Lepisosteus oculatus: one gene and its partner. The protein of the gene in region 1 purifies or fractionates together with the protein of each later gene. This does not show direct contact. Links are inferred from orthologs where the notes say so. Each region holds a gene or a part of one and is shown in the gene's direction. Other genes may lie near its edges. The genes, in order: wdr59 and sesn2.

Region 1 (8,161 bases):
GCAGGAATAAACCCTTACCTGCGCCTGTGCAGCCCACGCATGCTGACGCAGCTCCCTACTTTCTCTATGCAACGCCTACTAAGTAACAAATAAACGTGTTTTAGTTCTACAGACTTAAGGGAGGGTGAGGGATTCACTCTTGACCAGAGTTATCATAATTAAAAAAAAAAAATAACAGAAAAGTTGAAACTGCAGCAGGTCTGGTCTTGAAATGATTTTAAGTGACACCTGTTACCAGCGAACACTTTTAAGGAAGAATTTTCTGCTCCAATATTGACTTAAGGAAAAAAGTATAACACGCTAAATCTGGCTAGCCAGTAACAGTTCAATTACAGCTCTCTGACCTCTTCCATATAAAACAAACACCTGGAGATTACTGTCCTTCATTTGCAGTACAATGGAATTAAAGCATGTTTGTGATCCCTCAACATTCTCCTTAAACACACTCACTTAAAGCAGGCGTGGCAGCGCAATGTGTAGCTCCTGGTTTGCCTGATGACCATTCCATTGACCGACAGCACGTGCAGCCCAATCTGAATGAGAACGTTCTGTTTCAAAAGAAAGTAAAGAGGTGTTCAGGGAAAAGGCAGTTTCACACAATTCCTGGGGTTTCTTCAATACGCAAGTGAAACATGGCTCATCTTTTCCAACACAGTCTTTGCGCTCCGGGGGGACCGAGCTCTCGACGGCGGTTTCATTGCAGAGTCACCTGCATGGCGAAGTCTGTGGTCAGGCAGCCCACTCTCACTTCGCCTGGAGCCTGCTGGACTCCCATGTTGAGCTGGACCTGTCTGATGTTCCTGGGAGTGATCCAGCCTCCGTCTCCACTTTCCTCTTCCTCTGAGCCACTCTCCGCCTCCTCCTCCTCTCCCACGCTCCCCGCTGTCCGGGACTCCCCGCAGCACTGATCCGCGGAGACGGGCGCAGGCTGCAGCTCATCGACAGTCGCTCCCGCTGAACTGCACGCGGCCGAGACCGTCTCGGCGTTCTGCAGAAAGACAACAGGCCTCCTTACAGCCTGGACAGCCGCAGCAGGGAAGTTCCAGACCTCGTTCAGCCTCGAGGCAGTAACACATAACCCAGCAGACGGATTCCAAAGCTGTTCTATAATTTACTCACGGAGTGGCTGAAGCAAGCTGATCAGCCATGTAGCTGGACTCCTTCAAGGAACGGCTGGAGAGTCTTGGAACAATACCAGCATGCTGGACCCAATGGCCTCCGCTTAGCTGTAACCTCTCTTACATCTTATGTTGCCAAATACAAGGTAGCCAGGGGAGCTGGAGCCTATCCCAGGAAGCTATGGTTGCAAGGCAGGATACACCCTGGACAGAACACCAGTCCATCGCAGGGCACACACAGACACAGACAGCACCCCAGGAACCGAACACAGGGCCCCAGTGCTGAGAGGCAGCAACGCTGACCACTGCGCCACTGTGTCCCCTGCCTTAAGAAAACATTAAAATGGTAGAGAAGGCATTAGAAGTAACATTTGGACTGCTGCTGGAAATGGAGAACAGGCATCCACTCCAGCTCTGTCCAGTCCTCACCAGTAACTCCAGCAAGTCAGCTTCAATGCTGGGCAAGGGGCTTCTCCAGAACTGGAAGGAGTTGAACTGGGCATCGTCTGGGGAGCTGGAATTCTGTGACTTGGAGCAATTTGGTCTGACTCCTACATTCTTGTCTGAAGTACCTTTCTGCAACAACAACAAAAGAAAAAAACACTTAAATCAAATATTGTCCACTATATAACCTACAAACAGGACTTCCCCATCCTGTTCCTGGATATCCTTGTATTTGCTGGATTTCCTTCTAGCGGAGCTTAATTACTTAATTGAAGCCTTAATTGAACTAATGACTTGCTTGATTGGAAATGTTGCAATATTTTCCTACTCAAAATTCTGACACAAGCTTCTTACAAAATGTGACAGTTAAAAGGCAATCTCCATTTTTTTAAAAGCTGATGTTAAAAATAAATCACATGAATCCAGTTATTAAGTCAATTAAGGTTCAATTGTGTAACTCAGAACTCAAGGTTTATTTTAGACCTCCAGGACTAGAATTGGAATCTCTTGGCCTGCTGTGTGGAAGTGTCCATCAGGAAACTGGAGCAAAATAAAAGTTGGTATCCTTTGCTGTTAACTAATTTTTGTGACACTTTTATCAGCAGCAATATTGATTTGTACAAGTGAGAGTTTTATTGGAGCAGTCTGAGTGAACTGCAGTCTGCAGTCCCACAATCTTCCAGCTATAAATCCAGGTCTCTAACCACTGTTTTGCACTGTTACTACTCTTTCCAGGATTGACGATCAAGCTAAATGCAGCTACTAAAAACAAACCTGCAAAAATGAATTTGCTTACACAGACTGTTACCTCACCTCATCATATCTCGGGACACTTAAACTGGAAAACAAAATTAACCCTACAGCTTGAAGGAGAACACTGAGCAGCTGGCCATGTCTGTGTTAAATATGTTTGTGAAGACCAGTCTCTATAGGTCCCAGCAGGATTCTGGTCACAGTGTCCTTGGCCTCTGACCTTAGACGGGATGTGGAATCCAGCAATGTTGACGGGTGCCTCTGGGTGTCTCCAGGTGCTGCACACTTCGACCTGAAACACAAAAATATAGGTTTTACTGTTTTATTCATTGGTTGCCAATAGGAAAGTTGTCAAACTGCAGTCTGCGCAGGACCCATCTGCTTTGGGTCTTGAAATCAGATGAACACATCAAACCCAATTTAGCATCTGCGCTCTCACTGCCTGTTAAATTTAGAGTAAAATTCAAAATTCTGCTCGCTTTTAGCCACTGACATTTGGTTCTGGTCATTTTATAGTTCTTATTCCACTCCTGACTCTGAATCAAGTGTTCGCGTGACGGGATTCTGTTCCCACTGGTCCCAGGCCTTTACTCGCCGACAGAGCCGCCTGTGTGCGTGTGGAAATCCACCTCCTCCTCACCCGGCTGAGCGCTTCACTGCAGGCACTACTCCCAGCACCAGTCTGTGGCTGGTGTGGGAATTTCACCCACGAGCCCCCGGGCACAGCTGCCGAACCCGGGCTGTAGAGCACTCCGCCTAGACACGCGAGGAGCTGTGCCCGCACTGCTGTGTGTCTGCCATGCACATTTTTATCTTTCTCTGCACGTTGCACAGCACTCCGGGACGCATTGACACACGAGGTGCTCTTGCGAATGAAAATTATGATAAAACTATTATAAAACCGAACAGCCGCCGTTTTCTTCTTACTTTCACTTCTGGTTCTGTCTTGAGGTGGGCGACGCCAAGGACCTCCGACTCCAGCTGGTAGGTCAGAGCCAGCACTTTAATGTCCGTCGCCGAGAGGCTTGGGTAGTCTCCGGTCTTTTTGGAGAATTCAGTCACTGGAATCAAAAAAGCAAGAACCAGGTGAAAGAATCCCAGTTGGAGAAATTGATTCGTGCACTGCCTGTGGAAGCCCAAAGGGGCATTTATTATAGCTAAGATTCTTTTGGACAATGCTGATACATCACAGTTCTGATCTACTGTACATCCTCCCAATGAGAGAAGCAAAAAGTGTAACAGTCTCCAAACATTTTAACTATTTTTATGGCATTGGCTATAACTGGTATTTTAACCAACTGGCCCAAGCCAAAACAGGTCCAATTTTGCTAATCCATACATGAACTTTGGCATAGATAACACTCTGACATGCAGAAGGTAGAGTTATTGCCAATAACACCAAAAGGCCCAAACATTAACTCACCAATTTGAATGAATTCGGGAAGGGGCTCCTTAAACTGCAGTTGATACGGCAGGAACGCCAAACTGTTCCTGGTCTGTTTGTCCCGGATTTCATTCACCACCTCTTTCACTGTGTAGATATTCTTCCCAAAGTCCTAAAATAGGGGCGACAAGACTTGTCACATGGGTAAAGAGTATATTTAAAGTACAATCTGGATATCAGACGAATCTTAATTTTGATTAGGAACAAGTAATAGGTTTATTCCATGCTGAAAAGAGAAGAAAGAAAATAAACCTATTACGTGTTTCTCTGCAGCCTACGCATGCTGACGCAGCTACCCACCTTAAATTTGATTAGTTCGACATCTAAATCTCAACACCTTAGGAACAACTGAAGATCCTTAAGAGAAAATGGCTACTAGTAAAAACCATTCGAATTTTAATATCTACAATACGGAAGAATAAAAACTACCACGCTATACCCCTGAGCCACTTCTCCCAGTGCGATAGCAGCGCACCAACGCACTCACACCTCCGCTGTCCCAGCACGGCACACCCCTGATTGTGAGCTCTTCGGTTCTGTCTGTACACGGCTAATACAGAAACAACATCCCTGTGCGCTCCGCTCACTCTCTTTCTCACCTGCAACGGCGCCTTCTTCAAAAAAGCTCCAGCATCCGCGACAACATGCTCCACCACGGCAGAAGACATCTTGAAACAGTTGCACAACCAATCAGAAAATTGCTAAATTTGCGCAGGTCAGAGGATTTCACAGAATAACAAAAGAGTTTGCCCCCTGTCGGTGGTGTTTTGCACTACCGAAAATGATCACGAGTCTGTTTACTTGGGTCAATTTTAATCAAATAAAATACTCTTTGCATTTTTTATTATAATCTACCAATAAAGAGGTATCTAAATAGTGTTTGCAATGATGCGATATTATTGGTAATGATGCTATACGAATATGATTTACCTATCAATAATAGCACCCTGTGTTCATGGTATTTCTTATAACCTACCTATAGCTGCCGACCTGTGTCAATTCTCATACATTTCTAGGTTCATCAGTAATACATATTTGCATACATTATCTGTAGTGAACGAGGAGGATGGACAAAGTGTAATTACACTTTTGGGGGTGGAAAGGAACTTCACCCACCATTGAGTAAAACACAGCACATAGCTGATTTCAGGAGGATACCGAGGAAGAGTTATTTTAAGAACAGCGCCATGTGATCAGTATTGACCCGGAAGTCAAGACCTTATGTTCATCGAGCGCAGCGAACTCTGGGATATAGGAACGCCCTATGGAGCGCCGGCAGCCGTGTGACGTCACGGTGTTGTTGTTATGGTGCTGAAAGGGAGGCAAGATGGCGGCGCGCTGGAGCAGCGAGAATGTGGTGGTGGAGTTCAGAGATTCACAGGTACTGTGGGTCTCGATCACGGGAAAGCGATAGATCTGCTGGTCGTGGTCGTGGAGATTTAGACTCCCGACACAACTGACCACGTCGAGAGCGTTCGCAGGAATGAGGGTTTTCTGTAACTTAGGGTTGTCACTCAGTCAGTTTGCAGTCAGTGCAGAAACCAGGAGTTTTGCTTTATCTCTTTAGTCAGCAGTTTAACACTGCGAAGAAGGGATGCATCAATGTTTTTAAAGTTTAACCTTTTCCTCAGTGTTAGGAGGCGTTCACTTTTTAGGGGACATAAAATCGAATGGATTCCGGGCTTCGATAGTCGGAATTGAGGATCCTTGCTCTGAAGTAAACATGATATAATGTTTTATTTGTAGAACCCTTCACTGAGTGACAGTTGGAAATTGTGGCTTATTGTTGGCTAATTGTGGTTATTTTGGTGTGTTTTATTCCAACCCCCCTCCCCCCGCTGAGTCAGCAGATCAGATGTGAGATCTGCCTCTGTTCTCCAGTTTGACCCCCAGCTCGATGCTGGCTAACTGACCTGTCTAATTTTCGCCTCCCACATCCCTGCTCCGTTAAGGTTGCATTAGGAAATGTATTCTTGTCTTGCGTATAAAGTACTGTAGTACAAGTATGTTTAATAGCAATTATCTACAGTGTGGTGAAGAACTGTAAAGTTATGGTTGCGTTAACATTGCAGTCAACGCTGAATGTTAATTTTGTGATTTTGAAGAGTATCCGAGAAGTAGGTGTCTATTAAAATAGCGTTCCAATTTCTCAGATTAAACCTTAACGATTCATCTTATTCAAAGCAACTTACAATTTTACTTTTGAGGTGTGAGTGTGCAGTTGTGCCTTACATCAGTACTCCACAACATAAATGTGTTCGTAGAATATCAAGAAAATCTTAATTGTTGTACCCAAAACAGGTTGATTTCACGTGGAACCTTTAATTCCTCTCAAACATTTTTATGGAATGAATATGTAATCAGTGCTTTAACTAAATTAATTCATTAAATACAGATCGCTCAATTTACCTTAATTTTGCCTATTTTCTGTTAATTGTATGACAATAATTTGGAACCTTTTGCTGCTCGTAATGGTGGGAACATTAAATCCAGCTGCTTATCAATTTACTAAAAAAACAAGGACAAAATGATGTTTATGGATTGTTAGTCATCTTTTATGTCCTGTCTCTGCAGGCGACTGCGATGTCAGTGGATTGCCTTGGCCGCCATGCTGTGCTGTCTGGGTGAGCTCTCTCATCAACCTCCAGCAGCGGCAGCCAGTGATGATGCACCATGAGAGCCACACTGCCCCTGTGGGCAGTGTTTTATTACAGCAGGACTCCGCTTTGCAGTACAGCAGTATACCTTTCGTAGTGTGGAGGGGTGCATTCTAGTGCATTGTACATAGTGAACAAAATCTAGATGGTGCGGCACTGAAGATTCAGAGTGGTGTGACACTGTTTTAGAGCTTCTCGGTAATCTATTTTATTTAAGGAAAAGTGAAGAATGTTGTCTCGACCTTTTGTAAAGAAGGTATCCGGGGTGGCGGTGTGTCCGCTCGGTGTGTGGTACCTGGAGCCGCAGCAGGTGTGAACCGTGTCCTGTCTGCGTGTCCCAGGCGGCGGTTCCTGTACATCGTGAACCTGGACACCCCCTCCGAGGCCCCGCGCAAGATTGGCCGCCAGAGCAAGTGGGACGTGGGGACGGTGCAGTGGAACCCCCACGAGTCGGGGGCCTACTTCTTTGCCGCCTCGGTGAGACTGTGGTGACAGGAGAACCAGACGAGATCGTTTGCCTCAACCTTTACTGCATCTGCACCCCCTTGGTTCCCCAAACATGTTCTAGCACCCCAGATCAAAGTCACTGAAGCAGTTTGGTTTTTAAATCCTGTGGTATTTAGTAACTATATAATGAAAGAGATAGAACTATATAATTTTTCTAAAATAGTTAAGAATATTATGGAAGAATTCAACACCCTTTTAAGTTTATCTTAAAATGCCAAGGTTTGGTGGAACAAAGTAGTTGTGTCTATGTGCCTGTGCTTAATTTGTGTTTTCAGTGATCCACCTTCTAAAAAAACCTTCTGTCGATGTGTTGGAAGTAAACACAGGGCTGGTTGATTTTCACTGTGACAGTGCTGAGAAGCACAGCCCAGGTTTCCCTGCAGTGGTTCAGTGCCAGTCTGACCCAGAGGCCTTCTTGTACTTGCAGAGTAACCAGCGGGTGGACCTGTACAAGTGGCGCGATGGCGCTGGGGAGATCCACACCTCGCTGCAGGGACACACGCGCGTCATCAGGTGACAGGCCGGTGGTTTGGGGTAGAGTGCTGAAATCAACAGAGAGAGTCTTTATTATTAGTATTGGTGTACAGACAGAACAAAAAAAAGTCAGGAACAACAATATACATACATATTTGCATAAAACATCACATGTTGAGTATTGATATGGCTACAGGTTATCCCCCTTTCCTGCCATAACTTGAGCCTGTTGCTTAGAAGTCCCTTCCTCTTGCAGAAAGGAATCAGTTAACCCCTTCTTCACATCTTGTATCTTTCTTCACAGTGCACATCACATAGTAGAGTATGTGTTATATATTGTGGCCAATGTGACCCACTTATTTGCTTTTTCATTGCACTATTGATAATGAAATCATAACTTAGTCTTGTGCTGCTTTTGTACTTCACAATGTTACATGGGCAAGTATAATTCAAAGGATCCTAGTGGAATATGCAGGACATGCAGGAGTAATGCACTAGTATCTGCTAGCGTGGTGTGTGTTAATACAGCAGAAGCCCAGTCCTCTCTCTCTTCCTGCTTTCCAGGTAAATGGTCTGACAGACGTGTTGTTTGTGCCTTGCAGTGACCTGGACTGGTCGTGGTTTGATCCCGAGCTCCTCGTGACCAGTTCTGTGGACACCTACATTTACATCTGGGACACCAGGTGAGAGGTGATCTTTTTGCTGTGAAGTAACATTTGTGAAAAGATCTGTTTTTTATTTTAGTTGTAAGGGTTATATTGCAA
Region 2 (7,452 bases), on another chromosome or scaffold:
TTTTTTTAATGCAAGTTACAACACTAACATGTTTAAAATACTACAAGTCTCCAATGCACCCCATCAATGTTGGTACAGTATTTATAATCTCACCTGGTATCCCCGTGGTACAGAGGACAATGTAATAAGCTTTCTGCATCTCCACAAATGAATCCCAGTCCATCTCTCTTATGAAGTAAAGGAGGCTTAAGAAGCAGGTTTCAGGAGTCTGTCATATTTTTTGTTCCATTTTTAGTTAGCTGATCTTTTAAAGGTATTTCAAACAGTACATTATTGCCCAAACATTACTAGGTCCAACACCTTATGTGCTCTGAAATTCAGATATGCATCATAGGCAGGTGACCTTGTGCCTCCTATAGACCTATGAAAAGGCACTACTGCTACCCACATATTAGTGTTTTGAGTCACTTATGCTTCCCTTCCTGGAGAGACACAGCTGGGCTTCGTGGTCTTTGTGTTAGAGTAGTTGAGAGGGCACCTGGCACCGGGTGTTGTAAAAGTGCTCGAACATTAAGCAAACATTCCACAGTCCTACCCCATGGACCTGGTTGTCATGTCATAAATAGATATTGTCCTGTTCGTGCTAGGTGAGCTGATTAACTGCCGGCTATGTCAGGAAACACGGCATAAAAATCAATTGATTTGGGCTCATTCAGTCACTTAATGGCTCTCACAAAGGCATTTCTTCTACTTTCAATGCATGCAACAAGCCCACGTTTAGAACTTCCTAAGAATCTGTAACAACATAAAACATTTTAAATGATGGCCATTAACTGTGGGTCTGTTCCCTAGGAACATGGTGTTCAGTCAGTTTTGAAAAAAAAAGGTAACTTATCGCAACTGTTATTAGTTTTTATGCTACACACTTTAAAAAGTCTCCAAAGGAATAAGCAAGAAAATGAATAAATACTTCTTTGATATTAAATATTACTCCAACTATCACTCAAAAACCTCTTGAAACACACTTCTGAACATGTGATGCTTTCAAACCAGTGCCAGGAAGGCTAGGACAAGACTCCGAACACCTGGCTTATCTTAACACCTTAACAGCTAAACTAGCACAGTGTTCCTGTGGGGACACTGTGGATCCAGCTTGGGTTTGCCATGCAATCACCTGTCATTTAATGCTGGTTACCATGGAAACACATTCTGACAGAAAACCTATATCACCTGCAGGCAATGTACATCCTGCATCAGATGGTGCAGAATATTTCAATTCTGCTCAGACAATTCTTGGGGCTCTGATAAAGAGATGAACTCTGACCTCAGCCTTTTTTTTAGCTCCTTTACTGAGTTCCTTTGTGTTTTGTTTCTTCCTGGATTCTCAACTCTAGACTGTCTCTGACCACTTCTCTGGATTTGCTCCTTTTTGCTTTGGACCTGTTTGTTTCCCATGCTTTGAACTTTGCCCACTTGTTTCGATTATAATTCTGGAATTCCCTTTGTGCTTTCACTGTTTCTCCAGCTTTGAACTATGCGTGTATCTCGCCACAATCCCGGACTGTGTATGCCTGCACCATGCTTGCCTGCACTTTCCCTGTGTTGACTCTATCTCTTACCCAGTGCAGGGATTCATCTTGTGCCTCACAGATGCTGCTCAGTCCCACCTTAAGCACAGATATGACAAACGTAACTTTTACTTGGCAGATTTAGCTTTGTCATCCCAGGGTAAAAAACCACCATGGCCAGAGACAAGGAATCCAGAGAAGAAAAAACAGAAGAAAGACATGGGATTTTTCTTACAAAAAACTTTATTGACTGGGAAACAACAATGCATGGAGTAGCAGTCTGTAGAGACAGCTGCACTAAAAAGAGTCTTTACATAAAAGTCTCAATCCAAACAATAAAATAAAATAATTTAAAAAAAGTAATCAACTGCAAGAAAACATCTCTGGTGATTAAGTCCTTCATTTGCAGTCTGGGAGGTTTATGTTTGACTTCTGTCATTCATTCATTAAAGATGGGAAGAACACTGCAGGCATTTCAAGCAGCCTAATTAATTAAGTCATTTATTTGCAGTTGCAAATGCACTTTAGCATGCCTGAATCAAACATGTAAGAACTAATTCAATTTCATGGGCACTTAAAAATCTGTGAATCCTTCTTTCACATAGATCTGATTTGTAATTGCGCCCAGCTGTAGGAATTACACTGCCACTGTATTATAATTGATCTTAATAATATAAATACACCAGACAAATTCACTTAATGAAAACACATGCTGTTTTCATGAACTAAAATCAATATTACCCTACAAATAATTCATAAATGATCTGATCATTATAATACACTGAAACGATATGACCTCCATATTTTTTCCCATTTTCAAAATGAAAAAAAACATCTAATTCAAAATTAAAAACTATTTCTAAATAGTTAAAATAATTAAAGATTAATTTTCTAATGTTTACACAGGCAATAAGATCATGATATTACGACAATTATGCTGGTTCATAATTAAAATATGCAGGTCATTAATAACCTTAATTTCATTTTTTTTTTTGCTATTATTTGTATACATTAGTGACATTAACTATTGAAAACTACTCACTTTCAGTCATGAGAATATATTCTTTATTCACAAATCAGAGGTATTAACTGTCAGGAGCGGGATTTGAACCCCCACCCCAAGTCAGAGACCAGAACACCCAAGCAATGGAAAGACGTAAGTCATGAAATCAGGTATCTTAGACCACTCGGCCATCCTGACGAACTCTAAGTCACAAATCAGAAGTACTTTAATGGTCAAAGGAAGAAGAAAAGCATTTTAAATTGCATCCTGGGAAGAACTGGGGTTCCTAGTGGAGGAGGTCCGTGGAAATAAGGTGTGCATTGTCTGCAGTTTCCTTTTCTCTGGTTATTTACACACACCAGTGCCATGCAAACGCTGTCACCCTCTGCCACTGATATCGCATTTTGACATTTAACTTTTACATATAAAAGTGTTCAGTTTGAGCCATTCAAGTTTCAATAAAAAATGCATTCACTTCCAAGAAAATGCGCATACTGTACTGATGTTTAATTCAACAAAGTGAGACATCATTGGAAGGGTGTGAATCCTATTGCAGGACACTCTATGTGTGGAAAGAATTGGTATCGATGTTTTCGACTGCACTGTTTGAATGGAGTGATTTAGTCGAATTATTACAACTTTCAACGCAACCTGCCCAAGCTGTCATGTGAGTAAATCAAGTTGTTTTTTTCATGATGAATTGTAGAATGACACGAAACTTGCGGATAGTGGTTATTTGTAAAAAAAAAACACGTTTTAAGTCTCACTTCATTTCTTTGCGGATTTTAAAAAAATAATATTCTTCAAAAGTATTGGAGCTGTGCAGTCCCAGCTCGTAGAGATATGTCGTAAAACTCCAAACACACGGAACGAATAATATAATAATATACAGTAGACAGCCTTGTTTGTGAAAGTTTTAAAACAGTTTACCAACAGCGAAGTACTCTGCTTAGCCGACCGCGCAATGAAGCTGGGCAAGGGGTACGCGTGACTACAACGCCTCTAACGGTAAGAGATAATAAATGCACTCCGTTTCCATTTTCTGGATATATAAGCTACTTGGATGTAAGATAAATGGACCATAACTAAATAAATAAGGAATAATTAGGAGCATGTTATTAAAATATTTACTGTATAACAAAAAAAATGTCTTCAAGTTTCAAAGTGTGCCCCAAAACCACAGTTTGAGAAACTCCCAAAGGAGCACGTTGATCATCAGCAGACCCGGTGTCAACCGCGTTCGCTGGGCCACATACAGCTACTTCTAAACATCGTCGAAACAATCAATTTCTGTTCAGATTTTAATGTTTTCTTTCCCAGATAACAACGGGAAAGAACAATAAGTACAATATAACCACGGTCACAAACAAGAAGGGGAATCAGGTTCCTTTGGCTTATTTTATTAAAATCGCTTAACACATCTCATCTACTTCTGCGATTCTGAAATAACTTCACTTCTCAGCCACCGTAGTTGAGTTTCCCTACTGCGTTTTTTGTTGGTTGCAAGGGAGCCAATCACGAGCACCAAATACATTTTACATGGGTCTCCGTGCTTGTAGTCCCTTGTATATTTCGGCTTCATTGGTGTGAAATATGGGATTGTATTTATAAAACTTCAATTCCCATGAACTGTTGTACACCGTTGCTTTTATCTCATTACAGCAGCTTCGGAAGTAATTGCATCAGCTGGTTTCCTAACGATCTCGTTCTTTTAGCTTGTATTTTTCCCTTTTATCAGTTTAGCATTTGTCCTCGATTTTGCTCAAACGTCAGCAATTTACGGGGTTTTTTTTCGTCGTAACGAATTATCGCCATGGATGCAGTTTCTGTTTTTGAGCTCTGAATTCCAGCTAGCCGTATAACAGCACCTGAAGATGGCAAATATGTTTTGCACTACGCAACGAAGAAGCTTAGAGCATCGTTTAATACTGGTAGAAAAATATCTGCTGTGTCTAAGTTTATTTATAATAGTATAGCCATCTGAGCATAGGGCCAATAGCGCAGCGGAAGATCATAGTGACTTTTTGAATTAATCGACTTGGTCATATTATAAAAATGCTGGAGATGACTCCTGTTCCTGTCTCAGCCTCGGAATGGAGCCAGGCAGGGGACCCGAATCAAGAGGAGCCATGTCCGAAGCCATCGAGGTCCGAACCGGTGTGGGACTCCAGGAAGTTCGAGCGGCTGTGTAGCCGAGACCAGAAGGAGCGAGCGGCCGCCCTGGACGCGCTGACCCAGGCGGTGCTGTTGTGCCTGGGTAGCGAGAGGCCCGGCTTGGCGGAACCGGGAGAGAGTTCGCCGAAGCTCGACAAAGAGACTCTGCTGCAGCTCCTGAGGGTGTCCAAGAGCTGCCCCTTCCGCGACATCAGAGAAAAAGCGGCAGAGCTCCTTCACGCCGCAGAGGTGAGAGGGACATGTACAGCGAAACCGCAGCTTGTATCCACAGACAAGTGTTGTTGTAGATCCACCTGCAGTAGTTGTGTATGGATGTCCTTGCTGACAACTGAATGTTTGGATGATTGGGGAAGGTTAATGCGTTTTATTTCTCATCACCAAGCTCTTTTTATTTGTCTTCAAAATCACCTATTCATTTAAGTTGTAAGCCGATGACAAAAGTGGTTCATCATAAACCTTGTTCTTGAACTCCGAGAGATTGAGGTGTTTAACATAGCTGCAGGAGCGGTTTATAATGTGTATTTTGTTATTTTTTTATTATTTGAGAGCTTCTTAAACACCTTGGGACAGATCAATAAATATTTCTCTTCTTCATTCCTATTTGTGGTCTTGCTCGCAACCTGGTCACTTTAGCCATGAGGTGCTGTCCTTTGGATGAGACATAAGACCGAGCTCCTGACTCTTCTATGAATTGGCTACCTTACTCTGCTCTCCTCCCCACTGATCGCTGATGTATGGTGAGCGTTCTGGCGCACTATGGCTGCCGTCACATCATCCAGGTGGATGCTGCACATTGGTGGTGGTGGAGGGGAGTCCCCATTACCTGTAAAGCTCTTTGAGTGGAGTGTCCAGAAAAGCGCTATATAAGTGTAAGCAATTATTATTATTTGTGGTCATTAAAAATTCCAGGGCGTTTCTCGAAACGAACAGGAGAGTTATCTCGGTGTCCTGGCCAAATTTCCCATTGGCCTTTACCAATCACGGTTTACAAATAATCCCCATCTATGAACTGGCTTCATGCCTCTGTTCCCCTCCCCACTGATAGCTGGTGTGTGATGAGTGTACTGGTGCTTTGTGGCTGTCGTTGCATTAGGCGGAGGCCATATATTGATGGTGGTGGAGGGGATTCCCCAGTACCTGTAAAGCATTTTGAGTACAGTGTCTAAAAATGTGCTATATAAGGATTGTATTTATATTTATGGGTTTGTTATTTATTCTATTTATTATTCATTTATGCCAAAGGTCTTGGTGATGCTGAAAACCCCTAGGATACTGTAGCCTCCACTCTACATTATTATTTCCTCTTGATATTTGGTACCGTGGCACATTTCTTTGAACACAGCAGCCAGCCAAGATGTGACTGGTTGTTTGAACTGTTGCCATTGTCTACAGTATATTCATGATAGCTTGCGGGTGGCATGTTTGAGCAGTGCTGGGGCCCCGGGTTCAATTCCCAAGCCGCTGTCTGCGTGGGGTTTATAGCTCGCCCTGTGTTTGTGGAAAATCAGCTTTGTTGCAAATGTGTGTATGTCTGCCCTGTGATGGAGTGCCATCACATCCAGGGTGTATTCTGCCTCGTGCCCGTTGTTTTTTGGATAGGCTCTGGCTTCTCTGTGACCCTGAATTGGAAAAGAGTTGTTAGAAAATGGCTGGATGGATGGGTAATTGCTTGCGTTTATGTACCGCATTACGTATAAGAAGACATCCACACCACCCACCCCTGGAGCACAGCGCCAGCCTGGGTGATGCAACGCAGTTATTCTTCTCCAGCAATTCTACTGCACAGCAGCGAAATGACAAATTTAGCAGTGAACTACAGCGGAACTTCAGTAATTCCCCAGATGTACAACACTAGGGTTGAATTTAGCTGGCAACACTGGAATAAACACCCTTTCTCTTTACAATTCCAAACGACTGAAGAACTAAATTAGTGTCTGTAAATTAATGGGCAGCAATGCAAATGGTATAATTAGTTGTTTTTAGGATGGAGAGATTGAGTCTCCTTCTTCTGTTGCAAATGTGCTCTGTAGCACATACTTCTCACACTGACCCCTGAGGGTCAGGGCAGGGTCATCTTAGGGTAAATACAGACTAATTGGTTAGATGGACCTGACTGATTTATAAAACCTGTCCCTCTTCATTAAAGAGAGAACTATGTGAACACTCACCTTCAGAGTCTTTAGACGAGTCCTTCTGAAAGGCTGGTGCATTGCAATTAGAGCTGCTACATTATTAACTTCATTCCCATTTTTTTGAAGGCTGTTTGCTTGTTCAATATTGAAATCTTTGCTGAATTGTAGGATGATTGCATAAAATCATAGAAGACTCAAATGCATTACACCGATTTGCTGACGTATCCAACACAGCTTTGTAGAACTTGGTTTTTACTGGAGACATTTTAGTTGAGTCCCATGCTTTAGAGTGGAACAGCACCTGGAATTCAAACCTCTAACCTGCTCATTATGAGCAGAAATCCTAACCGTTGCTCCACACTATTGCCTAGTCACTGGAATAACTTTTACTCTACTTCTCAGGTCTGCTGTGCAGTGATGCAACACCGATAAAGGCTGACATTTTAAAAACATTCACTAGGTCATGTCATCTGTGCTGAAGACACTGTATAGATATACTGTATACTGTATCTTGTTTTAATTGTGCATACTGCCTATTTTTCAAAGAACACCCTAGTGATAGTGAATTCTGAATTACCTTAAGGTTCTCTCAGGTTCTCCCTTTTGAACAAAGAATCACAAGAGAACACACAGA

Evidence for each region.
Region 2: the proteins of wdr59 (region 1) and sesn2 purify together in Homo sapiens (affinity purification with western blotting; 4 studies listed by BioGRID and IntAct, with this or other methods). This does not show direct contact. The link is inferred for Lepisosteus oculatus from reciprocal best matches to the Homo sapiens genes WDR59 and SESN2.

Annotation. Positions count from the first base shown.
Region 1 is NC_090715.1:16,379,650-16,387,810, reverse strand, and holds the start of wdr59 (GATOR2 complex protein WDR59), read left to right. Parts: upstream 1-5,034; 5' UTR 5,035-5,086; coding exon 5,087-5,140; intron 5,141-6,333; coding exon 6,334-6,383; intron 6,384-6,757; coding exon 6,758-6,893; intron 6,894-7,350; coding exon 7,351-7,436; intron 7,437-7,999; coding exon 8,000-8,080; intron 8,081-8,161. Other genes in the region: RNA-binding protein NOB1, read right to left, coding at 451-548, 710-988, 1,548-1,694, 2,536-2,607, 3,243-3,376, 3,739-3,871, 4,359-4,427, 4,876-4,878. UniProt on the Homo sapiens protein: As a component of the GATOR2 complex, functions as an activator of the amino acid-sensing branch of the mTORC1 signaling pathway. The GATOR2 complex indirectly activates mTORC1 through the inhibition of the GATOR1 subcomplex.
Region 2 is NC_090706.1:9,644,393-9,651,844, forward strand, and holds the start of sesn2 (sestrin-2), read left to right. Parts: upstream 1-4,163; 5' UTR 4,164-4,566; coding exon 4,567-4,914; intron 4,915-7,452. Other genes in the region: gpr210a (probable G-protein coupled receptor 139), read right to left, coding at 94-163. UniProt on the Homo sapiens protein: Functions as an intracellular leucine sensor that negatively regulates the mTORC1 signaling pathway through the GATOR complex. In absence of leucine, binds the GATOR subcomplex GATOR2 and prevents mTORC1 signaling.